4 linked regions of the Arabidopsis thaliana genome follow. The protein of the gene in region 2 interacts with the protein of the main gene of each other region in a pairwise test. Each region holds a gene or a part of one and is shown on either strand. Other genes may lie near its edges. The genes, in order: CID7, PAB5, CID8 and CID4.

Region 1 (7,179 bases), on a different chromosome or scaffold from region 2:
AACTTGCTAAAAGTTGTTTCAATTTTTGCTATATATGTTCTAGACCGCGTTACAAAACATTTTTTCTGTTTAAACCTAAAAGAACAACTCCACGAAGACTTTAATTACGTTTTAGTTATAGAATGACAAGAATAAAAAATATTGAAGAAAAGAATCCATATGGTTCACGTTAACTTCGTCAAGTTCTTACTTTATTTATGGGTCGTACACTACATTAATAACTTCTTAAAAAACTATATATTTTTTATAATTTAGATAATATTCAATAGTATTACTAACTTTGAAAAGTGTGTGAATTGGGACAGGAAATAGCTTAGCAATGGCTTGGGGAATAAGGATGAAGATAGCTCTCGGAGCCGCCAAAGGTTTAGCTTTTCTCCATGAAGCAGAGAAACCTGTCATCTACAGAGACTTTAAAACCTCTAACATATTGTTAGACTCCGTGAGTTTTTTTTTCCTTTTTAAATTTTGTATCCACTATTAAATCAAATTAAAGTGGTATTTCTCAACTGACTCTTTGATATTTCAGGACTATAACGCCAAATTATCTGACTTCGGTCTAGCCAAAGATGGACCTGAAGGCGAACATACGCATGTAACTACCCGAGTGATGGGAACACAAGGTTATGCTGCGCCCGAATATATCATGACTGGTAACATTTTTGTAAGGAATTTATTTCTTTTACCGTGAAGCGATATTCTTTGAGATATGTCTTTAATGGTTTACATGTGTTGTAGGTCATTTGACGACGATGAATGATGTATACAGTTTTGGAGTAGTTTTGTTAGAGCTGATAACCGGAAAACGGTCAATGGACAATACCCGAACACGGAGGGAACAAAGCCTAGTGGAATGGGCGCGGCCTATGTTAAGGGACCAAAGAAAGTTAGAGAGGATAATTGACCCGAGGCTCGCGAACCAGCACAAAACAGAAGCGGCTCAGGTAGCTGCTTCCCTAGCATACAAGTGTCTAAGCCAACATCCTAAGTATAGACCTACAATGTGTGAGGTGGTTAAGGTCTTAGAGTCTATCCAAGAAGTTGATATTAGGAAGCATGATGGCAATAACAACAAAGAAGGAAAGAAGTTTGTTGATATAAATAAGTTTAGGCATCACCGTAAAGGCAAAAGACGTGTGAACATCGCTTATTCAGATTCTCTCGTTTACAAGGAATCCAAGGCAAAGCAAAACGATGGCATTTGAAATACATCATTTTCTCATATGAATTATTAAGCATTCATATTCTATGAACGCAATTCTTATCTTAAGTTATGACCATTCTTCCAAAAATTTGAAGGAAAGAAAGGTGATGTTATAAGTATCCTAGTTCTCTGGTATTTTAGATTAATTTCCTTTACATAATTCAAAAATACTTTGTACAAAAGAGTCATGTACAAGAAATATAAAATAAATGTTTGTAAATCATATATATATACACCAGTTTGTTGGGCGGACAACGTTGAAGTTATTTCGCTCTTTAAAACATAGTAGATGATCACTTGGTTGGTTATTATGGAGATTGGAATTGCAATAAAATCAAATCATGTATGGTACGGCAGCTACCCCTAGATTATTCTTGGTGATTCCAATGAAATTATGAGCTCCTCGGAGCACTCTCGTTTTCAAGATTACATATGAAACCGTTTGGGTATATTTGAGTTTCAGAATGCTGTATAAATGTAATAAATTATTAAATTTTTATATTTATTTTATCTATATCAACAATAAGTATACTTTTTTCCCTAGATGACTTAAATTCAAAGCAAATTAACAATAACAATCAGTTTGAAGATTATTTTTCCTAAATATAAATATAATTGTATAAACTTTAATTAGATTTTTAAAATAATAAGCTAATTCAGGATATTCAAAATATATAGAGAAATCTTATTAAAAAAAAAAATTAGTTGAAAGGAAATAGTTAACCTAATAAAAGCAAGTAATCAAAGCCCAAAAATTTACAATTAAAACCCTTAGTGATAAGGATTAAGTGTCATTAGTAGTTAATAAATAAATGTTGTAGATAGATGGAGTCACTAAAAAAAAAAAAGGTCAAAACGAGAGGCGCAAGGTTTGGTGTCTTGTTAAATAAATCTTGTGGTGCTCGTGTTACCTCTTTAGCCAAACAACACCCCCAAACAATTACTCTTATAGAGAGAGTAGAAGAAGACGACGCTTACCCCAAAACTCGAATCCCTAGGAGGTAACAGCTTAAGCTCTCCGATTACCCCAAACTGCAAAATTTCTCATCTTTCTCTCTCTTTATCTTGTTTTCAACAGCAGCCTTTACCTTTTTCTTTTAACCTCTGATCTTGTTATCTTCCATGGATCCATTTCCTTAAAGGTTTGCTCTTTCTTTCAGAGATATTCTTATCTCTACGAATCTCATCTTGATTTGGGTTCTTCTTTTTTGTGTGGTTTAATAAATCACAAATCTGTTTTTTTCTATCTTGGATTTACTTAAAAATCTTGTTTTTAATAAAGGGTTTTCTTTTATTTCAGTCATTTAAAGATACCCTTATTCTAGAATTTAGTAGTTGTGTTTCAAATTTTAAGTCTTTATGTGTTTGTCTGGTAAGAACTATAAAAAAGCTGCAATGGGTTTTGACTTATGAGTTTGTAGCCACTGAAAATGTATCTCTTTTTCTTGTTTAGGTTTTGGTAATATGAATTGAGAAGTCCACGCACGTGTGTATCTCTATTACCGTCAGGTGTGTTACCTTTCTTCTCTGAGTAATTTGTTTGATTAAAGCAAAGTATTTTGCAGGTTTCTTCTTTGAGTAATTTGACTTAGAAAAGCCAAACTCTTTTTTTTGCAGATTTTGGTTTAAAAGCAGTTATTTTTACTAGTCTTGTAAGAATGAGTTTAACAAAGAAAGCAAGTGAACCAAAGCTAAGTGGTACTAGTATCAAGCCAACAACTTTAAACCCTCATGCTGCTGAGTTTGTTCCGTTTACTCTACGTTCTCCTTCATCTGGAGGTACAAGTACTTTGGATACAAGACTTTTAGCTTCTTCTAGTTCTGTTGGGAAAGCGGTTTTGGACAGGACAGAATCATCTGCGTCACATCATTCAGATGAAGAAGCACGTCAGTTCTGGAGTCATCAACTTCCTGATGATATAACTCCAGATTTTGGGTTGATGACTCAAGATGACAATTCTTATGGATCTGGTAGTTTGTCACTAGCTAACTTGTCGTTGTTTGACGGTAATGAAGCTGAGAAGTTTCCTTCTGCTAGTGGAGGATATGGCTTTTCAGATCAAACTGGATTAGCTTCACATAATGCTAATGGTAATAGCTTGGCTGATAAGAGTAGATATCCCATTTCTTCATTTGGGGAAGATCCTCAGCGACAGAGTTTCATGCAACTGAGTCCAAAGCCTTGGGATAAGCAAATCATGAATGCTGAGCAGCTTCTTGGGAATGACAGGGAAAGAAACCCTTTTAGTGGGAAATCTCGACATGGCTTTGTTAACGACATGATTACTGAGAGTCCAGGGGATATGGAGGTGAACCCTGTGGATTTTCTCGCTTCTCAGTTCCCCGGATTCGCCGCTGAGAGTCTAGCAGAAGTTTATTTTGCTAATGGGTGTGATTTGCAGTTGACAATTGAGATGCTTACTCAGCTTGAGGTATTCTCCTATTCAATATATGGCATAGCTTTTATTGATGTTATGTTATTAAATTCTATGTTTATTTTCTTCTCTGTATAGCTACAAGTGGATGGTGGCTTGAATCAAAACATAAGCCCTAAGACTTATGCTCCTCCTAGTCTAACTCCAATGGATTTTCCTGCACTAAGCATCTCAAATAGCCATGGTATTCCTGCCCAGTTTGGTGGGGATGATTTGCAACAAACTGGAAATCATTACCAATCTCCTGAAAAGGATAACATGTTCTTCTTCAAGTCGGGACCATCGGTTTCTCAGCCTGGTGCAATCGATTATGTTTCTGCTGTCAGGAAGTTAGCATCTCAGGATTCTGGTATGTGGAAATATGAACGAAATGATTCAGCAGACTCATCTATTGGCTCTAGCAGGAATTCTGGTGCTTACAAAAGTGGCCGTGGGAGGAGTATATATTCTGATAAGCTGCAAAGTCGAGCCCAAACTCGACCTGCTCCTGTTTGGGTGGAGACCGGGGATGCTGTTGGTAAGTTTCTTCTTTTAACAAACTTTATTGCATAGACAAATAACTATATGAGTCTTGTTATACATCTGTATTGAACATATGTTATCTTATTCGACGATGTTGCATTTCTGGCTCTCTCTTTTATCTGGGGATGAACAGGCAATATGTATTCTGAGTTACGCGAGGAAGCACGTGACTATGCACGTTTGCGGAATGTGTACTTTGAACAGGTATAATATACTTGGAAATGACATTTTACTCATTTATGTGGCCTCTAGTTGTTCTGCAGACCTGTTGTTTTTTGCAACTGGGAAGTTCCATTTGGTACATACCTGTCTATTAATGTTAAGGCCGTGTAATGTGGCCTAACCTTGAGGTCTATTGTCCAGATTGATTTTTGGAAAATACTTCGGGTGTATGGCGTAGTGAATCATAAGTATTTGGAATCTTGCGTGCAATTTATGATGATAGTTTATAAAGCTTTTTGTCAATGATGGGGTTTTCACCGGTTTTATTACTTCGACGTCATCTTATTAACCTGTTATCTTTCTGTCTTAGTCATGTACGCTCAATATTCTATGTTGCTTCTGGTTGAGCGTAGGCACGACAAGCATACCTTGTTGGGAATAAGGCCTTAGCCAAAGAGCTAAGTGTTAAGGGACAGTTGCATAATATGCAAATGAAGGCTGCTCATGGGAAAGCTCAAGAAGCCATTTACCGCCAGAGGTTTGACTTCTTTACCTGCACTGCATCTCCTTGTAACATGATCTTTTATCCGAAACACACACTGATATCTCCATAAATGAAAAACAAAACTCCTGTTCTCAGTATCTCTGTTCTAACCTGCCTATGAGTAAAAAATGAAACAGGAACCCAGTGGGTCAAGGAAACAGTAGAGGGAATGAGAGAATGATAGACTTGCATGGGTTACATGTGAGTGAAGCACTTCAGGTGTTGAAGCACGAACTGAGTGTGTTGAGGAGCACAGCTCGAGCAACGCAAGAGAGGCTTCAGATTTACATATGTGTAGGGACAGGCCACCACACAAGGGGTTCCCGCACTCCGGCTAGACTCCCAGTTGCTGTACAGCGCTACCTACTCGAAGAAGAAGGTCTTGACTATTCCGAACCACAGGCCGGTCTCCTTAGAGTCATCATATACTGACAGACAAAAGCCAGGTACTTATATAGGATACAAGACCGGAAAAGAAAACAAAAAAAAGGAAAGGTGACCACGCTATTCATTTGTTGTATCTGATCTGTACATGGGAAGAGAGGAGAAAGAGACTAGCTGAAAATGAAGAAGGAAAAAAAAAAGTGTTAGGAAAGAGATCCGCAAGAAGGAAGGAACGAAGGCGTATGCATAAAATGTTTAGGTTTGTTCAGTTAATACTTTTTGTAGCATCAGAGGATCGATCAGACCTCTTTCTATCTTTTTGTCGGGATCTATACGATGTTTTGTTGATTCTCGGTGCTTTTTTTTTTTTACAGTTTTACTCTATATGTTATACTCCTTTCTTCTGGAAATGCTTATATTTGTAATTCTCTTAGATTTAATGTGCATCACTAAGTTACAAATTCATGAGTCAAAAAGTAAAATTTTGTACTTTAAAAAGCTTGTTTCCAGTTATGTATTGTAAAAGAGAAATCAAGCTCTAATCATAAGCTCATAAACATTACTGTTGTTCTCTCCATTCACTCGCTTAAGCATTTCGAAACTTTTCCTGCTTCCTAATAACTCTATTCTTGGGAAAACCAAGCATCCTTCATCTGATGTCTCTTTGCTGCAATACACTGTTCTGAGACGGTCAGCGTGCCTCGAGTCTGTGTGAATTGCAACTTCTATTTCATGATCCGGCAAGTTCTCCTGCAGAATCAATAGACACAAGAGATCTTCTTATTGTGAACTAAACGGTAACATGGGCCTAGTGAGTCAACAGAGATAGTATAAATACTAATCACTCATAAGTTCCTAACTAAGACGAAGAAATTGATTCTAAAGACTCTCCTTTTCATAGCAACTAAAAGGAACTGAAACGAGAAATTGGCCATTCGAATATGATGGTTATACCTGGTAAAATCTGTAGATATAGTCTAAGATTTGCAGGCAAGTGAAACCACTATCACTGAAATAAGTCCGTGAAGAAGGTCCCATCTCCGAGAACCGATCAGCTGGATATAGAATTGTAAGGAAGCTGTCTTTAAATATCACTTCTGTCTTCTCACTGCAGAAGAGCGCCCAGGAAGAAAAAAAAGATAGTTGACCACAGTGAGATATTTCCAGGATTGCAACAATGGCAGCAATAGATAGTAGTAGACTATCACTGGAACAATTTACTTCTAAAGTAGCCATGTAAAATCTAAAAAATGAAGGAAAAGAGATGTACGAAGAACGAAACAGTACCTCTCGGTTAGTGCTCTGGTTGAATTTGAAAAAGAAGCCACTGGATCTAACCCTTTATCTATCCCATCTTGTACAACAGAAGGCTGGGGTTCACTGATGTCACGACTGCTGCTGTCAGTAAAAATAGTGGCGGCTGAAGCTGCTTCAGATATTGTCCAGCAAATATTGTCCAGCAGGCTGTACTGTGTTATGCGTCTTATTGGGTTTTGGCAAGTCTATGGGACATCCAGAAAGAGAACAGACAAATTCAGACACTATGGTGAATTTAAGACATCAGGGAAGAAAGAGAAAGATCATCAGTTACCTGCATATGGCGAGCACGTCGTCTCCTAACCCCCGTTTTAGCTATATTTACAGTCTCTTTCCGTTCTTGTTTTGATAAACTTCTGGATTTAAAAGCCTCTTGAGAATTACCTTGCCCGGAAATTTTCTGTGAGATTTATACAGAGAAAGGTCGCAACTATTACTCTCATCACTTGAATTGAAATTACAAGACGGGACAAGGAAACGTAGGAAGACTGAGAAATTATGTGCAAGGATAGAGAATGGGAAAATTAACTTGTAAGGACAGTAGAAATCACACCATATGAAAAGATAAAGTACCTCATTTGCCGCACCATCTTCAAAATTTTCAAGCATTA
Region 2 (7,258 bases):
TGAGGTGGAGATTCATCTGTATAAGTGTGGAAAAGGTCCGATCGATGTGTTCAAGTCAAATCTCGGCGGTTATGAGCAGGATCAGCTCGAGGTTCGATCTATTCTTGAGAAATATGGCTTGAAAGCAATCTTCGCTTTCAACGTTGAGAAAGGTCGTGCTGTTCCGATCAGATTTCACCCTAGGAATGGTCGGTCTGTGTTGCCTTATAGGGATGGTGCCGTCATTTACATCGACGGTGAACCTCAGGTAATCTGATTGTTTTGATTTTGAGTTTTCACTTACGCAATAGGAAAAAAGGACAGAGAACGATCTCCTTAGCTTAGTTATAGTTCCCTACTGATGCTTGAATGAATAAACTCACGGTGAATATTGTTGCATTGCATCTGTTGGACCTTCTCTGAACGCATGATTAAGGAATAGGATAGGACCCAATCTGCTTCTTGTCTCCTTTACATGTTCTTCATACCCTTGGATTGTAGAATTACTCTACATTGGCGTTCTGCATTTAGATAAGTTGATGGTTTTCTTTTGATTGTGCTCATAAACCTCATACATGTCTCTAGACTTTCTAGGCTTCTTTACTCTTCAATTGCCCTGGAATATCAATTAACGTGGATTCGGTGTCTCATGGAACCTTAGGTTTAGGTCAAAGCTTGTATTCTTACTTAAAGTAAACAATTTCTTGGAATCACTCCTATGGCTCATAGATTTAGAATACGCATGTAGAAACTAGAATGGATGTCATGGTATTCTGACTTCGTTGGGGCGTAAAAAGTCTTTGGATAATATTGTTGCAAGAACAGAAAAAAAAAGCATTAAAACATGCAGCTTTAATTGGGTGATTCATCTGATAACACTATTAATTTGAACACCTTTTGTTTTCAGGATTCCCTGCTCAAACCCATCACCAGAATCATTCTCGGAGTTGTGATTGTTACGCTCTTAATAACATTTCTATTGAAAGACCCTCCAGCTTGGATCAAGAACAACATCTCCATTGGGACCTTTCCTCCATGGGTGCTCGCATGCATAGTTATAGTTTTCACTCGAGCTAGAAAGAGAACCAGGGACTTCTTCAAGAAGTATGGCTGGTAGTTTCGCAGACCCTAACACTCGTCTCGCTTAAAATGTGGTCGAAATTTGTAGTCTTTCATCGACCATATATATAGAGGTTCTCTTGCCTTAACCCAACAAGTTCCCTTCCTTGGCAAGACTCTTCGTCTTTGATACGCCTTGAGGCGCCAAATTGCTTGCTTTCAGAACTAAGAGAGAGCAATCATTTTCTTCATTTGCATTTTGTTGAAGTTTATAGTTTTATGCATTTCCATGTGTAATGCGATTTGGTTTTTGCCATTTTGATGGAAACTGATACTTATTTTCTAAAACCCAATAGTTTGGCAACAAGCCTGTCCATATTTAATCTCTACATTCCTCCCTGATAATATGAAAATTTAGTCTTGTAACGCATGACATGCTCAGTTTCGTACATATGTCAGATAGTGTTTCAGAAATATCTAAAATGAATGACAACATCACCCATATCGAACTTACTTTTTGGTGGTAGAAAATATTTAGTCGACTAGAGTCTGACATTTTACTCTATTAATCACGAGTACTTAGCAATCTCTGTTCAATAGATTTCAACTGTTGTATTTATTGATGATGGAATTTTTTAAAGATCAAAATTGTCTCATCCACAAAATATTGTCCATGAATTCTATAGATTAGCCTTGTGGCATACCAAAAATCTGTCTCATGTTTTAAACAATTCTATGGAAATATGTTGATATTGATTTAATGTATAAAATTGAGTTTATCGCGGCTGCGTTGACGTTGCTGATAACATCCTGCTTGACACTATCTGGAATTCCTAATTTACTAAGAATTTTGATGATTTTAATAATATTATTGAAAGTGAATAAATGAAAGATTCTAAACTATTGTAGATGTTATTAGTTTAGAATTTGTAAAAAGTAATATAAAATCTTCATAAATCTGAAGTTATTTGATTTATATTTTTATAAAATTATTAAATATTTTGCGTTATTCAATTAAAACAAAATAATCTATGATTGTTAATGAATTAAATTATTCTGTTAATGGTTTATGATTTTTTACATTTTTCTTCACAAAATAAAATCATGAAAGTATCATCAAAATCGAGAGATTGTTTAAATTTTTTTACGAGATTGTGAAAAACAAATCAACAAGATTATAAAAAACTCTCTAGCAATAGTTTATAATCTTTCATTTATTTACTTTCTATGATATTATTAAAGTCATCAAAATTTCGTGTAAATTATGAACCAATAAAGCCTCTTTTAACAAAAAAAACAGACATGACGATAACAACAAAATAATTAAGAAGGAGAAGTAGACGGAAAAAAAAAAAAAAAAAGTAGAGTAATAAGATGTTAAGAAAAAACATAAATATCTATGTGGCACTAGATCTCATCTATAAGACGTTAGTCGTAGTTTTTTGCGAGTATATGAAGAGCAGACTTAACAGATTCATTCGGTTGCGGCTTCCGTTTAGAACGCATGATCCCTTCTACTTCTTCGTCAAAATTGTGTTCAGTTTTCTTTATTTGTTTTAATGATTGTTGTATTTGGATGGTTATATATCATATAAATTTAAATTTTTATAATATAATATAATTGATTATCATTAAAAAAAAAACATGTGGCATTGGATTATTGGCCAGGACAGAAAAAGCCCATTGGCCCACAAAAAGATCCCAGATGTGAATTAAAAAGCTGAGTCAAAACTCAAAAGCCACGTCAAATCAAACTCTGATCCGTAGGGACCGGTTGGTTAGCGAATGTATAAATACCAACTCTCATTCTTTCACACCCTTTCGAGTCTCTCTACTCCTCTTCTTATTCACCGGAGTAACCCAAAAAAAAAAAGGAAAAAATATAAAAATAAATATTCTCCCCTAAAAATTTTGGAAAACCACAAACAGAAATCTCTCTGTCTCACCCTAGAAAAACCTAGAAATCTTATCGCTATGGCTGCGGCGGTTGCATCTGGAATTGCCCCGACGACGGCCATGGTTGATCAAGTGATCCCTAATCAACCCACGGTTGCTGCTGCTGCTCCTCCTCCTTTCCCTGCCGTGAGTCAGGTTGCGGCGGTTGCTGCTGCTGCTGCTGCCGCGGAGGCTTTGCAAACCCATCCAAACTCGTCTCTCTATGTCGGAGATTTAGATCCGAGTGTCAATGAGTCACATCTCTTGGATCTCTTTAATCAAGTTGCTCCAGTTCACAATCTTAGGGTTTGTCGTGATCTGACTCATCGTTCTCTTGGTTACGCTTACGTCAATTTCGCTAACCCTGAAGATGGTAAATATTATAAACAATCATACAGGAATTTAATATTATTATTATGGATTACGACAGGAATATAATATTGTTCATGTGTTTGCTTTTGTGGTTTTGTTCTTTTTGCTGTTTTGTTTTGTTTTGTTTTGCTGTTTTGTAATTAAAGTTTTGTGTTTTTTTATTGGATCAGCGAGTCGTGCGATGGAAAGTCTCAACTATGCTCCGATCAGAGACAGGCCTATAAGGATCATGCTCTCTAATCGTGATCCGAGCACTAGATTGAGTGGGAAAGGCAATGTTTTCATCAAAAACCTTGATGCATCGATTGATAACAAAGCTTTGTATGAAACTTTCTCGTCTTTCGGGACGATTCTCTCTTGCAAGGTTGCAATGGATGTGGTGGGACGTTCGAAAGGATATGGCTTTGTCCAGTTTGAGAAAGAGGAAACCGCTCAGGCTGCTATTGACAAGCTTAATGGTATGTTGCTTAATGATAAGCAAGTCTTTGTTGGCCATTTTGTCCGTCGTCAAGACAGGGCACGTAGTGAGAGTGGTGCGGTGCCGAGCTTCACTAACGTTTATGTTAAGAATCTTCCTAAGGAGATTACTGATGATGAGCTTAAGAAGACTTTTGGGAAATATGGAGATATTTCTAGTGCGGTTGTGATGAAGGATCAGAGTGGGAACTCGAGGTCTTTCGGGTTTGTCAACTTTGTGAGCCCTGAAGCTGCTGCAGTTGCTGTTGAAAAGATGAACGGTATCAGCCTTGGGGAGGATGTGTTGTATGTTGGTAGGGCACAGAAGAAGTCTGATAGGGAAGAGGAATTGAGGAGGAAGTTTGAGCAAGAGAGGATAAGCAGGTTTGAGAAATTGCAAGGATCGAATCTGTATTTGAAGAACCTTGATGATAGTGTGAATGATGAGAAGCTCAAGGAGATGTTCTCTGAGTATGGGAATGTGACTTCCTGCAAGGTTTGTTTCTGATTCTAAACATCTCTAAACTTTATACATAAGTTTATACCACACAATATAATGAATTAAAATGTTTTGTTTGTGGTCATAATTAGGTTATGATGAATTCACAAGGTTTAAGCAGAGGTTTTGGTTTTGTTGCTTACTCCAATCCTGAAGAAGCTTTATTAGCTGTAAGTTTCAACTGAATTGACAATCTTTTTACATATACATAAATGTTTTATAAAATTGGTACTAAAATGTTCATTGGGGTTGATGATTACGCAGATGAAAGAAATGAATGGGAAGATGATAGGAAGGAAACCTCTTTACGTTGCTTTGGCACAACGTAAGGAAGAAAGACAGGCTCACCTTCAGGTTCTTTTTAGCCCTCTCACTCTTTGAACATCAAACTCTGTACTGTGTTGTGTTGTGACACTGAGTTCTTAAACTGTCTTGATGTTTTCACGTGTTTCAGAGTCTATTTACTCAAATCAGATCACCTGGAACAATGTCACCAGTTCCATCACCGATGTCTGGGTTCCATCATCACCCACCAGGTGGGCCAATGTCAGGACCACACCATCCAATGTTCATAGGCCATAACGGTCAAGGTTTGGTACCTTCACAGCCTATGGGGTATGGGTACCAAGTTCAGTTCATGCCTGGGATGCGTCCAGGTGCAGGCCCGCCTAACTTCATGATGCCTTTCCCTCTTCAAAGGCAAACTCAGCCTGGCCCTCGTGTTGGGTTCAGGCGTGGTGCTAATAACATGCAGCAGCAGTTTCAGCAACAACAAGTAAAGTTTTTATCATTAGTTCTTATGTCTTTTAGCAAGTTTATTATCTTTAACACAATCATACGAATATGAATTTGTTGGGGCTTGTTATTATCTTGGAACTGTCAGATGCTGCAGCAAAATGCAAGCAGATTCATGGGAGGCGCAGGCAACAGGAGGAATGGAATGGAAGCATCTGCTCCACAAGGCATCATCCCTTTGCCATTGAATGCATCTGCAAACTCTCACAATGCTCCGCAACGCTCTCACAAGCCAACTCCCCTCACCATTTCTAAGCTCGCATCTGATTTGGCTTTGGCTAGCCCCGACAAACACCCACGGGTTAGTGATCTCCTGTGTTTTCTTCTCTTATCTCATTTAGTACTTGCATTATAACCTATATTTGTTAACAATATCATTGCATTGTGAATTGATGACAGATGCTTGGGGATCATCTTTACCCACTTGTGGAGCAGCAGGAGCCAGCAAATGCTGCTAAAGTTACCGGGATGTTGCTGGAGATGGATCAAGCTGAGATTTTGCACCTTCTTGAGTCACCTGAAGCTCTTAAGGCTAAAGTGTCCGAGGCTCTGGATGTTCTCAGACGCTCTGCTGATCCAGCAGCTGTGTCATCTGTTGATGACCAGTTTGCTCTATCCTCATCCGAGTGAACATACTGTTTACTCAAGACTATGTTTCTCTCGCTTTCTTAGACAGTTGCTTTAATACCTTTTAGGACCTTTAAAACTAGCTTTTTCTTTTCTACATCTCTTTGATAGATTGTTTTGAGTTTTTCCCTTAGCATTGAGACTTTTACTCTTTAGCACTTTCTCTAGTTTCGTTAGGAGTCTATTTAATGTGTCAACTCTTTTGCAACTCCAAATTCGTTTCAGAAACTTTACATTTAGCATTTTATCTAATAATCGGCATTCTGGTTAAACATTCTGATCACATGAAATCTGGATGTACCTCGTCGTCTACTATCTGATATTCCGTATTTATCTCCATTACTGCTCTGTCCCATCCTCCTACTTCGTCATCCTTCAAGGCCTTTTTAACACCAAATCGCGGTGGTGCTTGGTGTTCTCCTTCGTCATCGATTAAGTAGGCGTCCCATTTCGAAGCTGGCTTAGTAACTCTTTCTGACTCTAGATTCCTCTCTTCCATATCCTTCTTCCTCGTCACTACTTCATCTGCAACACATTTGAAGGATAGGAGAATATTGTTTTAGTAAAACCATTCAGGCCTTTAATAAACAACATTCGCAACGGCTTTACTTGAACTAAACGCTGATATATGGCCAACATATGTAGCAGAACTCCTCTTACCGGATCGAAAATCCGGCTTTTTGATGCTGCGTCTGGAGAAAGAAGGCTTGAAGATCTCATTACTGTCTTTATTCTCACCTCCTGTATTTGATGATGATCCACCAGCATTAGACTCTTTGTTCAGCTTTGGCCTTTTGAACATATTGCTTGGCATCTCAGTGACAATCTTCACATCTGCAACAAAATCGCAAAACCAAGTACATATTTATCTATTTTGTCTCATAAGATGCTTGATTCTCGAATTAGACTCACCGTCTTCTTCTCCAGCTAATCTCCGGCGATCATTTACTGAATCGAAATCGAGGTATTGACTCCAATCAGATCGCTTCTTCGTTCCATTAACCTCCTCATTAACCTCTCCTTCAACATAAACCTCTGGAAACGAATCTCCAACAGCATGTGCCTCTTCATCGGCAACTTTGCGAGACATATTAAACGATTGGACAAAGAAACGAAGCTCCTTAGCCTTATAACCTTGAGCAAACACCTTTTTCACTGATTGCTTCTGATTGCATATCACACAAACCCACTTGTTACTACTTTTCTTCTTCTGCTTCACCTGCGAATTCGAACCCCAAAACAAAATCCCTAAAAACTAACCAATATATAAATTGACAGAGATAGAAGAGGAGGGAGCGAGAGAGTTTAATACCTGCATAGTTGAACACTCGTAACATTGGAGAGCGATGAAGAGAGTACTCGCCATTTTTTCTCCTTCTCCTTCTTCGTCTTCGTCGTCTGCTCTCTAGGGATTTCGATTTTGTGTTTTCGATTTCGTTCTAGCGCCAATTTGATATACTTCAAAAAATTTGGCAATTCCAAATTATTTTGTACCGGGTCTGTTTAACAGAAGACGGTAAATAGTTTCGGTTAGTT
Region 3 (6,616 bases), 7.0 Mb from region 2:
ATAGCCTCTTGTTCACCTTCTTCTTCTTTCTTATCATCTCTCCATCCATCACCACCTCTTCCTCTGCCTCTCCCTCTTGCTCCTCTTCCTCTCCCTCTCCCTCTCCCTCCTCTTCCTCCCACACTGCTTCCTTCAGCTTCACCACGCGAAAGCTCACTCCTTGCTCTTCTTCCAGCCTCTTCCGCACTCAATTGCGGCTTAGGAGTTCCATCTTTGACCGTTGGAGCCCGCTTCTGCTGAGGTTGTACTCTCTGCTGCTGCGGTGGAGGCGGAGGGCGTCGAATTTGGCGGTTATCTTCTTGTCGGATTGGAGCAGATTCCACAAGAGGCTTTCCTCGACCTGCTCCACTAGGATGTGAAAATTCGTTTCCTAATGCATTGAATATGTTATCAGGTGGATCAGCTTGACCAGGTTTAGACTCTGGTGGTGGTGGAGACGAAGTTGCGTCCTGCATCTCCTGCAGCTTCACAAATACAGGACTTCCCTGAGATTCATCATTAGGCTGCTGCTGTGGTTGCGAACGCGGCTGCTGCTGTTGTGGTTGTGAACGCTGTTGCTGCGATTGAGACTGTTGTTGCTGCGGTGGAGGCGGCGATTGGCGAGGAGGTTCAGCAGCGAAAGGTGAAACGGTGTCTGATCCAACGGATCCTCTTCCACGGCCAATACTAGGAGAATCTGATTTGACAAATGACGTAAACGCAGGAGAAATCGAATCAGATTGGATCGGACGACCACGACCATGACCATAACCTCCGGCAGATGACGGTTCACGTCCAGGAACCACCGGTTCACGATTTACACCGAATTGTCCTCTTCCAGCGGCGGGAAATCCTCCATCTTCACCGGAACCGCGTCCACGACCACGGCCGGAGGAGTCGGAGGAAGAGGAGAAATGAGATGTGGATTGGGTGAGAAATGGAGTTTGTTTGACTAAGGATGCAATGGTGAAGCCATTAGGGTTTGAGAATCTTCTTCCTATAGCACTTCTCATCTGTGAGATCTCTTCAAATTTCAAGAACTTTCGTAAACACTGGCGATTGAGGATTTGAGGGTTTTGAGTTACTGTGTTAATCGGAAAATGGGGGTTTTCCGAAACGTCGCCGTTTCTGTTGACTTATTGCTGCATATTTGTAAATTCATCCCTGTAGTTTGAGTACCTGATGGGAAGAGATTTATACTTTTCGATTTGTCGAAATCCCCCATAGTTATAGACATTAGGCCAAATTCAAGCACATTACAAAGAAAATGATCCAAAATTTAATTTTGCAGTTCCATCCCTGGATTTTGATACCTGACGGAAAATGAAATATACTTTTCCATTGACCCAAAAACTCCTATGAAGAGAATGATTATGCCAAAACTTAAGCGTTCAACACTTCAACATAAATAGTAAAATCTAAAATCTCCTAAATTCTAAACTTTTTTAGTTAAGAACCAACAAAAATGATCAAAAAAAAACCTTTAAAGAAAGATGATATGACTCAATAAGTCAAAGAACTCAGAACAAGAACTCAAAATCCAAGAAGCATGTTCATGGTTGTTGTCTTTCCAGAAACTACATAATTGGAAAACAACTGCTCTAGAAAAAGAAAGACAACTGAAAAAGAATAAATAACTGAATATTGTTGCATCACTCTCCTTCATCAACAAAGCCTCTGTTTTCTCCTAGTTTGGCGATGGTGATCGAGTGATTCGCGATCTCACTGGTGTCTTTGAAGGGCTTACCCTGAAGAATTCAAAAGATTTCATTTCAAATTGTTTTTATATTCAATGAAAGGTTTGTCACAAAAGAGAAATAATGTGTGTACCTTATCGGCTGAGATCCTAAGACTATTCCGCTGCAGTTTAGCGCTGCAACTGCACTCTCTGCCTTTTTATCCCGTAAACAAACGCATATTCAGTTGTTAAGTAAAAACTAAGCCTTGAAAAGTTCAGCTTTACTTGTTAACACTAACAAAAGAGGACACAGAAGCTGAGTTTTAACAGGAGTTTACCATGGCAAATTCAACAAAAGCTATGCGAGTAGAATGCACTTGGTCACCAAGAAGCCTTAAGCGAGTAACCTGTACAGAGAGAGAAGATAGAAAAAAGTTGAATGTTATTGTTGTTTTACAAATTTCATATTATCTTTATGAGAGCAGAAAAAGCAAGTTTTCGGATTCTAGACTGACCTCACCGCAGGCAGACTGAAAGAAGGTATTGACATCATCTTCAGTGGCCTGCAATTTATAGGAATCTCTCAAATCCGAGAACAAGTATGCAAACGCAATCTAAACTTTAACGGAGAAAAAGTATTTACATTCTTGTCAACATTTGTGCAGTAGATGGTCCTTGAACACATCTCTCTTTCATCTTCTGACTGAATAAAACACCAAAGGAAATAGTGGAAACCATCATTTTTGTTTCTAAAACTGTAAGCTACTATGCAGGCTGAGAAAAATGGAACTTCTTGTTTTTTACCCTGGGGAGAAATGTGGGATTCACTGGAAGAATAGCAGTTTTTGAAGGTAAGACTCTAACTGGGTAATATCCGATCATTGTTCCACCAAGACTTAAAGCCGATCGTGCACCTTCTGTTTTTCAAAACAAATTCATACTAATGTAACTCAAACTTGACACTTGAATTTTGTTTGTAAAGAAGATTAAGTAAAATCCAATAGCTTTAACTTACGGTCATCAGAAAACTCAACAAACGCAAAGCGAAGAACTGAATTCGGATCCCCGCAGATTCGACAATCAACAACCTTCAGAAGAAGAATGTAATATTAATTAACAAACAAAAGATGAAAACCGGTAACAAAGCTTATAGATTTCAACTTACTTGTCCACAGCTGCTGAACAAGCCAGCAAGGCCTTCCTCAGTCACCTATTTGAAAAAAAAAAAAAAAAATAGGTGACAATGTTGAAAAACTGAATCTTTTTTCTGAAAATCTAAAAAGAGGGTTTAAGTAACTTACACTCTGATCAATGTCAGAGACATACACTGTTCTTCTAATACTATCTTCTCTTTGAGCCTTAGAAGCTCTTCCAGGTAACCTCACTCTCCTCCCTTGGTTATAGTTGTTTCTTCTCTGTAATCCACAAAGCCAAAACAAAAAACAGACAATTTACCAAAACTCTTAATGAAATGTTAAGTAACGATCATATAAGAGTTGCAAAACTTGACAATGTAACTATTAGCCAACCAAACCAGATCAAAAAACAAAACTTTCTATATGAAACTTCAAGCTAGAGACTTTCCAGCACAAAGACCTAAACCCACTTAGAATGAAACCTCATTTAGAGGTCAACCAAAAATCCAAACTTTACCAATCAAAATATAATCAGAAACAGAAGAGAGATTGTACCCTCCGGTTAATGGCAACCTTTTTGTTGTCTTCACCAGATGGCTTTATAGCAATCACAAAATCGTCAGACTGATTAGTATTCCTCTTGTAAGAAGGGAAAAACTCCTTAGCTTCAGGATTGAGTTTCTTGAACATGGCAACAAGCTTCTTCATTTGATCATATTCCGGTTTGGATTTGGGTTTGAGGTCATCCGATTCGATTTCCGGTTTAGAATCCGTGCTCTTCTCAATTCCGTCTCCAGTTCCACCATCGTTGATTACGTCATTTGAATCAGTGGCCATCTCAGTGATCGCAGCCATTAATTAGATCAGAAAATTCCAAAAAAATATAAAACAACAAAAAGGATCACAATTCAACAAAAAACAAGAGACAGAGGAAAGAAAAAGTTGCGAACTTTTCCTTCTCTCTTCAGTCGAATTTCGTAAAAAAGATGCAAAATTTGATGAGATTAATCGAGTTTTATTGAACACCCATTTCAGAATACGAGAATGCTTAATCGTAGACAATATATAAATCTAGTGCGGTGGTTTCAGAAGGTGGCGATGGATGAGAAGAAGAAGAAGAAGAAGGAATGATGGGTTTTGGTTTGTTGCTTAGGCCTTTTTCTAGCTCAATCAAATAGACCAAAACTCTCTAACAAGAGTGCTTCTCTTTTTTTTCGGACTAAGATTTTTTTCTTAATTAATTTCGTCAAATGTAAAATTAAAAAGAAAAGAAAAGTTATGATTCTTTATTATTTTATGTTCCTCTTGAGGGCCTTTAGATAATTACATATTTTACACATACACCAGTTTATTACATTTTTTATATTGAAAAAAATCTTTAGTAGTTTTAGTACACTTTTTTTGCTAAGAAATATATTACACATTACTAATATTATTATTTAATATAATTGTTAAAATGTTATTATTTTTGTTATGGATATTAGATAGGGTGTGGTCTTTCATATGGACTGCATTGAAATGTGTTATTTTTTAGATACTGTTAGTTTGACACATCAACAAAATTTTGATTATTTTATAAACTTTTATTTTCTTCATAATTGCAAGCAATTGTTATAATAATTAGTCCATAAATCTTTGGATTCGTTGGGGGATTTTTTCCTTTTTTTAATATATTTTTTAACTATTGCTGGGATTTTATAGTTCCACTTTTATAATCTGCTTTTATTCTATTTTGTTATTTTATTTTACATTTCAATTTTGGTTTGCAGTTACTTTTGTATTGATATCCCTAATAACAGTAACCACACAACAATATGATAATTTTCTGGTTTTTCTAATATAAAATTTGAATGGTTTCTCGTCAGGAAAAAAAAATACAAACAAAAAATGTAAGACTTTGCAACGATGTATTAAGTGTGTAATTTGTTTTGCATTTTTTTATTGTTGCATAGAAAAACTATCAATTTCTTACCAAAACTCAAATTACAAATTTAGAGTTTTCATAAATTTAAACTCACTTCACTTCTTCAGATTACGAGTTTTAGTGTTTAAAATTAATGAGTTGGTCTATAAGAGCTTCGTGTGTTGGGGATTTGAAAAGATTAACCAAAGCTTTGTAAGAATTTTGCACCCAAAAAAAAAAGTTTTTGTAAGAAGGGTGAATTAGCTGTATAGCCATATTAGGACAAAAAATTAAAAATATAGCCATATAATTTACGTAATTCAGCAAGTAACCAAAAACTCTAACTAATTACAAGTCTATCCCTGCATTATTTCCTTATTTTCCAATTTGCCATGACTCATCATCTTCTTCGTTTTGTTGATCAGATATTGATCTAAAGGTAATATTCTATATGTTCTAAAGGTAATGGATTGTGAATCAGATATTGATTTAAAGGTAATGTTTTTTTAACAGACCTTTTTCATTCATCATCTTCTTCGTTGCTTCTTCTCTTCTCTCCATCCAACAGAAAATTTCCAGAAAATTTAAATTTTTTATATCAATCCATTCTAATTTAAAAACATCTATTGATTTAAGAAAACTAAACCCTAAGATACTATATATGGAACCCAAACAAAAATAATTAAACTAAATGAAATCATCTCAAGTTTCAGTTTTTAGAAATCTGACAAAATCATGTTTATATACTTTTAATCTCTTTTCTCCTTTCCTAAAGCGAATTGAAATCGATTCGATTTTGGGTTTAAATTTGTGTTAAGGATTTTCAATTTTATATATTGATCAAACCAGAAAATATTCAATAAGATCTTGTGAGTCTTCGTTTTCATTTTTTTTTTGTTCTAACTAGCAAATAGAATGGTACAAAATTGAAAGTAAAATAGAAAACTATAGTTCGGTTCTGTTTTAATTAAGTTAAAGTAGAAAAAAAAGATGAGAGGCGAGAGAGGTGAAACAAGCAATGGAAGAGAGGAAGAAGTGATTAAGGTGGTGGTGGTGTGTATGGTGTAGGTCGTAGTAATATTTGTGTTGGTGGTTGCAGTGGTCGTGTGTCAATTGCGGCGGCAATAATGGTGATGATGGTAGAGATGACAGCGTAATGGTAGTTTCTATGGTGGTGACGATTGCAGTGGTGATGGTGATGATGGTATGACATTTGTGGAAATAGTGGTGGATGCAATGATGATGACGGTTACAAGGGTAATGGTTGTAATAGCATAGAAGAGATGGTGATTGTATAGTTAAGGGTACTTTAGTATATATTATAGTTTATATACAAAATGTCTCTGTTTTTTTTGTTGGTTAGTTTCTTAATTATAGTTTTTTTGTTAGTCAATTTTGCAAATTTCCCTTTTAAGAATAATGATATATATAAAAAAAAAATAAAAAAATAATGATATTATACTGGGCTTTAATTTTACTGGTCAACAAAAGCCCATAGTCTCTCATTATGTGTTTATGACCCGTGTACCCGACCCATCTTTATAAATTAAAACGGATTTCGTAGAAAAGAAGTTATTTAAAGAGGGATCCGCTAATTTCTTCGTTACTTTTAGTCAACTTTAAAGAGTTTGCTTAGAAGATGGAAAAGTGAGGTACTATTGAATATTCAAGAAGAAGACATACCAAATGAGAATCGCAATATCTTTTGCTGATTTGAGACCAAAACGATTGTTGACTCTAATGGCGGATCGAAGTCGGATCAGAGGCTTTCTTAGAGAAGAACATGTGACGTATGCTTCCATTCTTCTCTACATCACTCTCTCTAGCGGTCAAATCTTCTTCAATAAGGTTTTAAGTCAAATCTCACATTCATATGTTATTGGATCTATGTTTTCTATTTGCAGTCTTTTTGCTCAAGAT
Region 4 (8,720 bases), on a different chromosome or scaffold from region 2:
GCATTTCACTGTCTCTGCAAAATTGAGTAGTATTATTGGCTATGGCTAAAAAGCTTCACCTAACCTTTTTTTTTTTTTCTCCCAGTAGTACCAACTTTTTTGCCACCACTAATTCACCATGAACACTACCTTTTTACCTGGACATTAATTATTATTATTCGTTGTTTACATTATGATTGTGAACCACTCTTGTCTTCTTCCTTTTTTTTTTTCTGTCCTTATTAATTACTACTAGTAACAAATAATGAGTACTCCATTTTATCAACTAGAAAAAATAGTAAACTTTAAGATTAAAACAGAAAAAGTGGGTACAACTATGTATAAAGGCTTACGGTGAGATCAGATTCTGATGAAGTGAAAATGTCCCATTAAAGAAACAAACAGAGACACACATTCTGTGTACCTTGCTTGATATCTTTGTATTCACAGCCGCCACATCGCTGTTCCGAAATCCACGCGCGCGTGATATTCACGTCCGGTGTTTGGATGATGAAACCACGTCGTCACAACATAAGGACACACTTGCCTTTTTGTTTGACCGGACTTTTGGTTTTTCTCGCATGAAATAAATCAGTAATTGCATAACGATGAGTTTTGATAGATTCTTAAAGAGCATTACAATTACAAGTAAGGTATTGTAGTTGAATATTCGTTGTTTTCTTGTCTCATTTCGGTATCCATACTGAAAAGAAAGAAACAAACTTAGCAAATTCATCGGTTTTTCTATCATAGCGGATGACCGTAAAATATGTTAGTTGGTTTCGTGAAAAGTTGTTGAAAATACATCGAAAACATGATTCGCAATTGAACTAAGTGATTATAAGGTAAATTCTAGATGAAGATTGGTGACCCAACATCATTCGTAAGTGTCAAGCTCAAGCCACGGTTAAAATCTCCACTTTAAAGCAAAAACAATAAATGTTGAGAGAGACTCGTAAAAAAGTAAAAAATAAACAACTCAATGCAGTCACCTAACCTAATAATATATGCGACTGGTAAAACTAGGTTTGATTCCATTTTATTTTTTTCTTGTGGAATCTTAAAACATGAATGTGTTGCCCACCAAATCATATACACCGAGTCATATCGATCATCATGATAATAATCGCGAGACAACTACTTATAGTAACGTTTAACGACTTATTGAAAAAAGCATGCCCTACAACAACACCAAAAATGACTAGTTCTGCCTGCTTTGAAATCGTTGTTACTCTTCTATTCTTTTCATCTAAACCGCATCCTTTTTGGATTTTAGATAACAAAATCACCCAGAAATTTAGCACAACACACACAAAAAAATATGCAGACGACGAAGTAAAAGACGCATGAGAGCAACCTACACTCTAAATTTTATATCTCTGATACAGCCAAAAAAAAGGAGAGAGTGCACTCAGTACTACAGACTTCAGATAGATCGTTTTTTTTCTTTCTTTTTTTCTTTCTTTTTGTTTTCAACACGAAATACCAAAATCAGTAGGCGAATCTAAAAAAGAGAAGAAAATGGTTTCAGTGATTGGGTAAGGGAGAGTGGATAAAACCAGAGAGGGGTTCGTACACTTCCTTCACAAAAAAAAAAAACATCATCACCATCGGGTAGTAGTAGTTATTACTCTCGTCCTTTATTATGATATGGCATGTCCTGCAAAACACACACATACAGAGATGAGATTTCAGCATCCAAAAGTTTTAACTCTTCGACTATGTAAAAGAAAAATAAAAAAAGAACAAAAAGAGGGAATCTACTATTAGCAAAAATAATAACCTGCGGGTAAGGAGGAGGATGCATGTAATAAACTGGCCTAGGATGCTGCTGACCAGGTATCATTTGCTGCTGCTGCTGACCAGGTATCATTTGCTGCTGTGGGTACTACATCACAATTCCAATTCCAATCACCATTAGACTTTTGATGTTTTTTTTTTTTTTTTGTGTATGTGTGTGGGAATAGTAATTCAATAGGGCTTGTGTGTTACTGTCAAACCTGAGGTTGTCCATTTGGATGATAATAGGCTTGAGGATGATACATCATCTGTGGTTGGTTGCCAGGATATGGCGGGAGCTGCCAATTTTCACATGGTGAGTTTTGAAAACATAACTCGGTTGGGTTTATATAATATATAACAAACGGAACTTACTCCGTAATTAACAGGCGGCATTCCAGGCATCTGCTGAACAGGAACATGACTAGGACCAGGGTAGTAGAATGAGGCATCTGCGATTGGAGATTGAGGTGGTGCAGCAGCTGACTGCAATGGTTTGAAACTCTTAGCCTTTGGATTGAGTTTGAATTCCTGATCAGACCCAACGACCCATAATTAGTAAAAACACACACACAGTTAACACTTTATCAAGTTTGAACATCAAACAAAATACCTTTGCATTCGGATTCAGTGTGGACTTTTCTGATGAGGCCATAGAACCAATTGACGAGCTCGGTGATAGCCCAGGACGACTTGATGTTGAAGGACCTGGGCGACTTTCTGAACTTCTAGAAGCAGACTGCCCGAAAGAGCTTTCAGATTTTGTTTTACTAGAAACTTGACTGGCTTCTCTTTCTCTCTCAGTAACAGCCTTAGACACCGAGGATGCACCACCACCAGATTTTGCACCTTCTTTGATATCTACATTCCACAATACATATTTACATAAAGCCTACAACCAGTTTCCTAATTAGATGGACGTTTCATAACAGGTCACCACTCCTTGTGTAAAAAAGAACATTTCTAAATTCCATTTAGCAACCTTAACAGAATCCACCATAGATTGTCCATTGAGATAAACGTGATAATAAATTATAGCGTCAGATCAAGAAAAACTGGAGTCATGCTAGTAAAAATGAAAGGTAATTCATCGTATACAACAAGAAAACACGTATGTTAATAAAAATGAAAGTAGCGTATACCTCCATGACCAGAAGTTGATTCCTCAGCTGACTATGTTAATACAGAAGGAAGCCAAATAACCAATGTTAAAAATTATAGAACAACAATGAAACGCAAAATGCAATCATGATTAAACGGCATAATCAACATGGACTTGTCATTACTCTGTTATTGTGTGAAACCTCTTCGTTATTCTTTCTTCTTTGCTCATCTAGCTGGCTCTCACTATTATGCCAAGAGGAACTCCCAATGTGAGATATATTTTAGATGATTTTCCAGATGTGTAGCTTAATTGCAAGAAAAATAAGACCTGATATTGCTGCCTGCGGCAGGAAAATCTTTGGATTGCTGTTTAGAGGTTGAGCAGCTTTGATCTACATTTTTATTTTTCCGAGAAGACTGACTGTCACCCTGAAAGAAAATGAATAGCAACATCACCAACTCGTTCAGCTATTAACTACTATCAAAGACGAACTCACCGATACCCGTAATTCTTCACAGCCCTTGCCACTAGAAGCTGGCTTCTGGCCATCAGAAGTAGATGAGCCACCAAAAGTCAGATCGTTGCAAGTATCCAGCAATGCGTTGTCCTCCAAATCAAACCCACTATCACCAAATCCAGTGACTGGACGGACAGATGAGTATCTGGCTTCCTCGTCAAAATCAAAGTTCTCATTAAGCTGAAGGCCTCTTTCCTGCATGCATGAATAGTTACGAATTTAAACTTATAACACCAAAAAAACATAGGAATCAAGGTGAAATCAAACCCCCAAATTACCTCTGCTACATGAATATCTCGGGTAGTCTCAGCCTCGATCTCTCTCGCAATCTTCTGGGCATGCTCTTCCAACTGTTTAGTCTGAGGACCTCTCTCAAGTCTTGTGGTATAGAGGTCCTCGTCGAAAGTGCTTTTTACTCCAAACAGTGACTTATTCACCTCAAACTGATTCCATTTCCTACAAGCAGAAACGGATCAGCTGAGAGATATCAAGGACAGAAAAGACAGGTAACCACACAGCAAAGATTACTCATATATAAGAAACATAACTATCAAAACAATATTCTTCCTAATCTTTGAGACATTCACCATGGGCTGTTCCTCACAATATAATATATGCTTTCACTAAATAGTAGAATTCTAGCTTTAGATATAGAAAGAGAATTGCTTTCCAAAAGGAATATACGGAATTTCTAAAGTGCAAGCACAAACATAATCTATTCATTCCCACCATCTCTCATCTAAATTGGTCAGCTAAGAAACCGTGATCTGAAAATCTAGCTGACAAATCAACATACCAAACATTCAATAAGTATAAATTTGACAAAAAATTTAAATATATATGTGCGTGTGTGTGTGTGTGTGCGTATATTACCTATTCCAAGGGTTATCAAACACATTCTCCAAATCTGCACCGTGTGGAATAGTCTCATCAGGTACCCAGCGTTGCAGCTGCCTTTCCCGATCAACATGATAAGACTGTGATATAGAAGAGTCTGTCAACAGCTCCGATGGTTTCTCACCCTGAACCGCATTTGACATGTTGTTCGAGGATACAGAGAGATCCTAACACCAAAATCAATGATATAAAGTAATGACAATGTCAAAACTCAAAGTAGTCTCTCTGCAATATAACACATTGACATAAACTTAAAACAATAAATATTTCCCTTCAGTTTATAAAAGCAGGCACACCTTAGCTATAACTTGCACAAGTTCATCTGCCGGAATAATGAATGTCTTGGAAGGCGGCTTCCTGACAAATTCGGAACGGGATTTATGTCCTCGTAAAGTACCGTCTTTAATCAAGCATGCCATCTTTAGAATGATTCCTGGAAGTTTCAAGCAATTTTATACATTGCAAGAAAAAGTAGTGTGAATTTGTATGTGCAGCTCTATAAGGAAAAAAATTCTGATTCAGAGCCTCACCAAAATCCTTCTCTACATTGGCAGCATGAAATATACCGGTATACACTGATCCATTCCTTAGATGCACTTCCACATGATGCCCGATCTTACATGTTGTGAAGTACACTAACCGATCAAGTGAAAGCCTCTTCAAGCTTCCAGCTTCCCCATTGAATACTGAATACATATCAACATGCATGAGGACTCAGAATATGACGTTGCACATAAATCACAGAATATCAACAGCTAACCTGTATTTGATGTATTTGTCTTATGTAAAACTTCCTCTGTTTCACCTCTTTTGAGTGGAAATCCATTTGATGAAGATTTCGACTGAGGAATACTCATTGCAGCCTTAGACTGTTCTAACTAACAAGGGTAAAAAAAAACAGTTATTGAAACCCATGACATTCGTAATTGCTCAACTGACGCAGAAACTATAAATAGAAGGTTACCATTGAAACCGATGATTACTATCTAACAGCAAAATACAATCAGTGAACAGCCTCGCATCGCCATTACAGAAAAATAAACATAAAACAACACTTGCTTGGCTTCATTCATCAAACATGCCGATTAGTCTAGAAAACGTTGTGGATGAAAGAAAGAAAGATAGTGTTGATTTCAACCATTAATCCGCAGCACAAACAATTAAGAAATGGAAACAAAATCAAAGAGTTTTCAGCACAAACAGACGCAAAAAAAGGAAGGCATAACAGTGAATCAAAGATACAATCATCTGCAATCATGAAATAGGATCTCCAACGTATTCGAGCTAGAGCTAGGTATTCCAGTAAAACAAACCCTAAATCATCAAATTCCCAATAACGCGGAAGAATAAAGAAGCAATGAAGATAAACTAAAAATCCAGATATAAGAATCGAAGAAGAGGATATTTACCTCAGAAAGCTAACCCGATCAGAAACCAAAACGCCTCTGCAACACCGATTAAAGAAATGCTTCCGAAAGGAGAGGGACGAGCTCGATTAGTTTCCAACGCAGCGAGTTAGGGTTTCGGAGAGAGCTAGGGTTTACGAGGAGAGAGTGACGGTAAACGATTCACCATGAATCTAAAGAGCGAAAGATAATCGGAGAGAGTGATCGGAGCTGAGCTAACTCTTTGATTTTCCGCAGGAAGCAAAATCATGAAAGGAAAGAACAGCTAGCTACACGAAACAGATCGTTGTGTAGAGTACCAATCACCTACGGGCAAGTGCATGGTACAACTATATTTGGGCCTTAATGGGCTCAACATGGGCTATAAACTGAGTTTGAGAAACTTTATAGGCCTCAACTTTTGAATGTCAAGCTTTTATGTTTTCTTTTTCTGTCTTTTCTTTCTTTTCTTTGATCGATCATTTTACCTTAGCCATTAAGAACTTCTAAATCTTTTAACACACATAAAACATAAAGGATCAAGCCTTCGATTGTAATTTACCTTTATTTCATTTGTGGAAAGAAATCAGCAAGAATAAAGAGTTTTTGTAAAAGCAAGTAACCTGAAGCAAAGGATACTTCAAATTCGAAATGAACTTTTAAAAGGGTATGGTTTGCTTAATGATGGGGATAATGTTAACTTGACTTTCAAAATGGGTTATAATGAAAGTGCTTAAGCCTTGAAGGAGACAGAAAAGGTTGGGGGAAAAAGCATTAATAGGCTTAGTTGGAAAAACAACTCTATAAAGTTTAAATGATTATTTAATAATAACAAGCTTGAATCTAAATATTACATGCTTCATTTGCATGTCTCATCATCACTTGTTTTTATTTTTGATAAAATCACTTTATACCTTTTTTCAGTTTCTAAGGTGCAATATGCTATTTGTCACCATAAAGCTAGGCATAAATACTAATGATCATAATTGATCAAATTAAATATATAATCAGAAAAGCATCACTAGAAAAATACTCCAAAATTACTTAAACATGGATTAGTTGGAGAATTCTGAAATATTATTAAAATGATGAAATACAAAAAAACTGGTGTGGCCAATAAAAAGTATAAGAGTTACATGTATGAAACATTACACTTTTCAAAGTTGTACCTCTCTAATTAGCAATGGAACATACACTTTTTTTTTTTTTTTTTGACAACTTAGTGTCCAGACCACACAGTGATCTGACTAGTCCACTGGGTTTAAGCCCGCGACCAGGAATTTTTAAACATCTACTTAATGGCTCCCTGGAACTGGTGGTCTGAGGCGCTAGAGCAAATCCGCATGTTAATTCTCTGGTGACCAGAAATCGAATCCGGGTGTCGGACGTCTCAGTCGAGGTTCCTTTACCACCAGACCACGATACCTGGTTGGAACATACACTTGAAAAAGATAAGACAGAAATCTTAAGACTATACGAGTATTATGTTCAATTTAACATGGGGTGAAAGAGAGATCATCATAAAGTATTATTTGTAACGGATAGGTCATAGTTATAGCTATAAGATACGAGCTAACATTAAAATGGAAAGAGAAAGAACAATATCAAACAAGAAAACACAGATCATTCACGTGGTATGGTAAAAATTAAATTAATTTATATTTTGCAGTATCGGATCTGATCATTCATTGCTATAAAAACTGTTTTCTTTTGTCCTAATTTAAAAAAATGTTTCAGCTGTATTAGTGAAAAAAATAGAGAAAGCAAGCCAAAAAAAAAACTAAAAACATTAACTACGAATTGTAAAATAGTGTATGGTAAGAAACTCCACAGAGTGTAGTTAATTCTCGCCCGTTGCTTCACGGCGCTCCTGTGACCAAATCTGACATTATATAGACTCGTAAATATTCCTTTTTAGGTTTTTGCATTCATATTTGAATGCAGTTGATTTAAAATAATTTAAACGACTAGTTGCCTCTAAATGTTTGAATAAATTAGGAGTAATTACCAACTAGTAACATTCTGTCACATTTCCCAGAGTCACTGTCTTAAATTATGAAATACTCGTTATTGAGAAAATTGACAGATAACAAAATGGATTAGTTATTTGGTTTCCTTTTTCTTTTCCTTTATTTGGGTGCAAAATTAGACAGCCAAAATCATTTAAAAATGCACGTGTCAATATGTGGCCACACCATGGATATTTTGCACGGCTTCATTATTTCTATGAAAATAGTTTTATTTGTTCTTTTTTTTAAAAAAAAGCAAGAAAAGGGAAAAGAGAATAAAGAAAAAAAACTAGGAAATAAAGAAGAGAATAACATTTGAAATTTTCTTGGTCCGATTTCTTCACTCTCAAAGCAGTAAAATTGAAGAATATACTACTAGTTATGTTAGCAAATGAAATACAAGACGATTCAAAACTAAGTAATTTAATATAAATAATAAATCAAAAGTTGACAAAATGCGGATATTAAAAAATAGCAATAAAGCTGTAGAACTATTCAATTGGTTAATCTATGTTAGTAAAAACTGTGTTACGTTTTTGTTTTTTTTTGGTTTTGGTCATAATAATCCATAAGTATCAAACTTAAAGACGAATCTGAAAATAGCCATTACTGTTTTTTTTTCTCTGAAGAAAAAGAAAAGAGTAGAGCTTTTTTGTTTAATATAGGAATTAGGAAGGAGGAGGAACACAACACCACACTTGTGCGCAAACTTTCACAGTGTCCGACGATCTCAAAGCCCAAATATCAAAGCTCTTCTCTCTCTCTATCTCTCCCCAAAAATTCGTAGCTTTTTTGCATTTTGCTTCTGCATTCGGCTTTGGATTTCATAAAGTGTTGAGATTTAAGAGTGTATCTCACTCAATCTCTCTGATAAGAGCTTTCAAGCCACAAGTAAACCGACCCAGAGAGTTTAAAAAAAAAGAAGAGTCTTTAATGCGAAGTCGTTTCTAGGTCTGATCTACAGATCCTGGTACCCTAATTTTCCCCTGCCGCAACGGTCTCCTCCTTCCCTTCGCCGTCATTTCACCGGTGGGGTTTTACATCTGAAT

What was found.
Region 1: the proteins of PAB5 (region 2) and CID7 interact in a two-hybrid assay, tested with the Arabidopsis thaliana proteins (one study listed by BioGRID).
Region 3: the proteins of PAB5 (region 2) and CID8 interact in a two-hybrid assay, tested with the Arabidopsis thaliana proteins (one study listed by BioGRID).
Region 4: the proteins of PAB5 (region 2) and CID4 interact in a two-hybrid assay, tested with the Arabidopsis thaliana proteins (one study listed by BioGRID).

What each region holds. Positions count from the first base shown.
Region 1 is NC_003071.7:11,186,263-11,193,441, reverse strand, and holds CID7 (CTC-interacting domain 7), read left to right. Parts: upstream 1-2,044; 5' UTR 2,045-2,205; exon of another isoform or gene 2,206-2,346; intron 2,347-2,657; 5' UTR 2,658-2,713; intron 2,714-2,821; 5' UTR 2,822-2,862; coding exon 2,863-3,636; intron 3,637-3,717; coding exon 3,718-4,156; coding exon of another isoform or gene 4,157-4,191; exon of another isoform or gene 4,192-4,294; coding exon 4,295-4,365; coding exon of another isoform or gene 4,366-4,371; exon of another isoform or gene 4,372-4,736; coding exon 4,737-4,861; coding exon of another isoform or gene 4,862-4,937; exon of another isoform or gene 4,938-5,004; coding exon 5,005-5,299; 3' UTR 5,300-5,716; downstream 5,717-7,179. Other genes in the region: ARSK1 (root-specific kinase 1), read left to right, coding at 306-442, 530-653, 739-1,205; AT2G26270 (BRCT domain DNA repair protein), read right to left, coding at 5,783-6,001, 6,206-6,359, 6,539-6,753, 6,843-6,968, 7,142-7,179.
Region 2 is NC_003070.9:26,989,244-26,996,501, reverse strand, and holds PAB5 (poly(A)-binding protein 5), read left to right. Parts: upstream 1-2,242; 5' UTR 2,243-2,399; intron 2,400-2,894; 5' UTR 2,895-3,012; coding exon 3,013-3,346; intron 3,347-3,515; coding exon 3,516-4,297; intron 4,298-4,392; coding exon 4,393-4,470; intron 4,471-4,564; coding exon 4,565-4,654; intron 4,655-4,754; coding exon 4,755-5,075; intron 5,076-5,183; coding exon 5,184-5,396; intron 5,397-5,494; coding exon 5,495-5,725; 3' UTR 5,726-5,977; downstream 5,978-7,258. Other genes in the region: AT1G71780 (WD repeat protein), read left to right, coding at 1-247, 887-1,096; AT1G71760 (uncharacterized protein), read right to left, coding at 6,003-6,247, 6,332-6,556, 6,635-6,941, 7,035-7,088. UniProt on the Arabidopsis thaliana protein: Binds the poly(A) tail of mRNA. Appears to be an important mediator of the multiple roles of the poly(A) tail in mRNA biogenesis, stability and translation.
Region 3 is NC_003070.9:20,027,596-20,034,211, forward strand, and holds CID8 (CTC-interacting domain 8), read right to left. Parts: upstream 4,025-6,616; 5' UTR 3,649-4,024; coding exon 3,349-3,648; intron 3,073-3,348; coding exon 2,959-3,072; intron 2,868-2,958; coding exon 2,823-2,867; intron 2,746-2,822; coding exon 2,673-2,745; intron 2,575-2,672; coding exon 2,462-2,574; intron 2,361-2,461; coding exon 2,301-2,360; intron 2,221-2,300; coding exon 2,173-2,220; intron 2,065-2,172; coding exon 1,996-2,064; intron 1,872-1,995; coding exon 1,810-1,871; intron 1,728-1,809; coding exon 1,667-1,727; 3' UTR 1,328-1,666; downstream 1-1,327. Other genes in the region: AT1G53645 (hydroxyproline-rich glycoprotein family protein), read right to left, coding at 1-992; AT1G53655 (uncharacterized protein), read left to right, coding at 5,162-5,191, 5,796-5,906; AT1G53660 (nodulin MtN21 /EamA-like transporter family protein), read left to right, coding at 6,383-6,544.
Region 4 is NC_003074.8:4,633,578-4,642,297, reverse strand, and holds CID4 (CTC-interacting domain 4), read right to left. Parts: upstream 6,007-8,720; 5' UTR 5,245-6,006; coding exon 5,242-5,244; intron 5,156-5,241; coding exon 5,038-5,155; intron 4,964-5,037; coding exon 4,808-4,963; intron 4,711-4,807; coding exon 4,574-4,710; intron 4,445-4,573; coding exon 4,254-4,444; intron 3,837-4,253; coding exon 3,659-3,836; intron 3,576-3,658; coding exon 3,360-3,575; intron 3,292-3,359; coding exon 3,191-3,291; intron 3,106-3,190; coding exon 3,045-3,105; intron 2,932-3,044; coding exon 2,901-2,931; intron 2,620-2,900; coding exon 2,372-2,619; intron 2,290-2,371; coding exon 2,134-2,289; intron 2,058-2,133; coding exon 1,980-2,057; coding exon of another isoform or gene 1,974-1,979; exon of another isoform or gene 1,901-1,973; intron 1,868-1,900; coding exon 1,763-1,867; intron 1,640-1,762; coding exon 1,607-1,639; 3' UTR 1,172-1,606; downstream 1-1,171.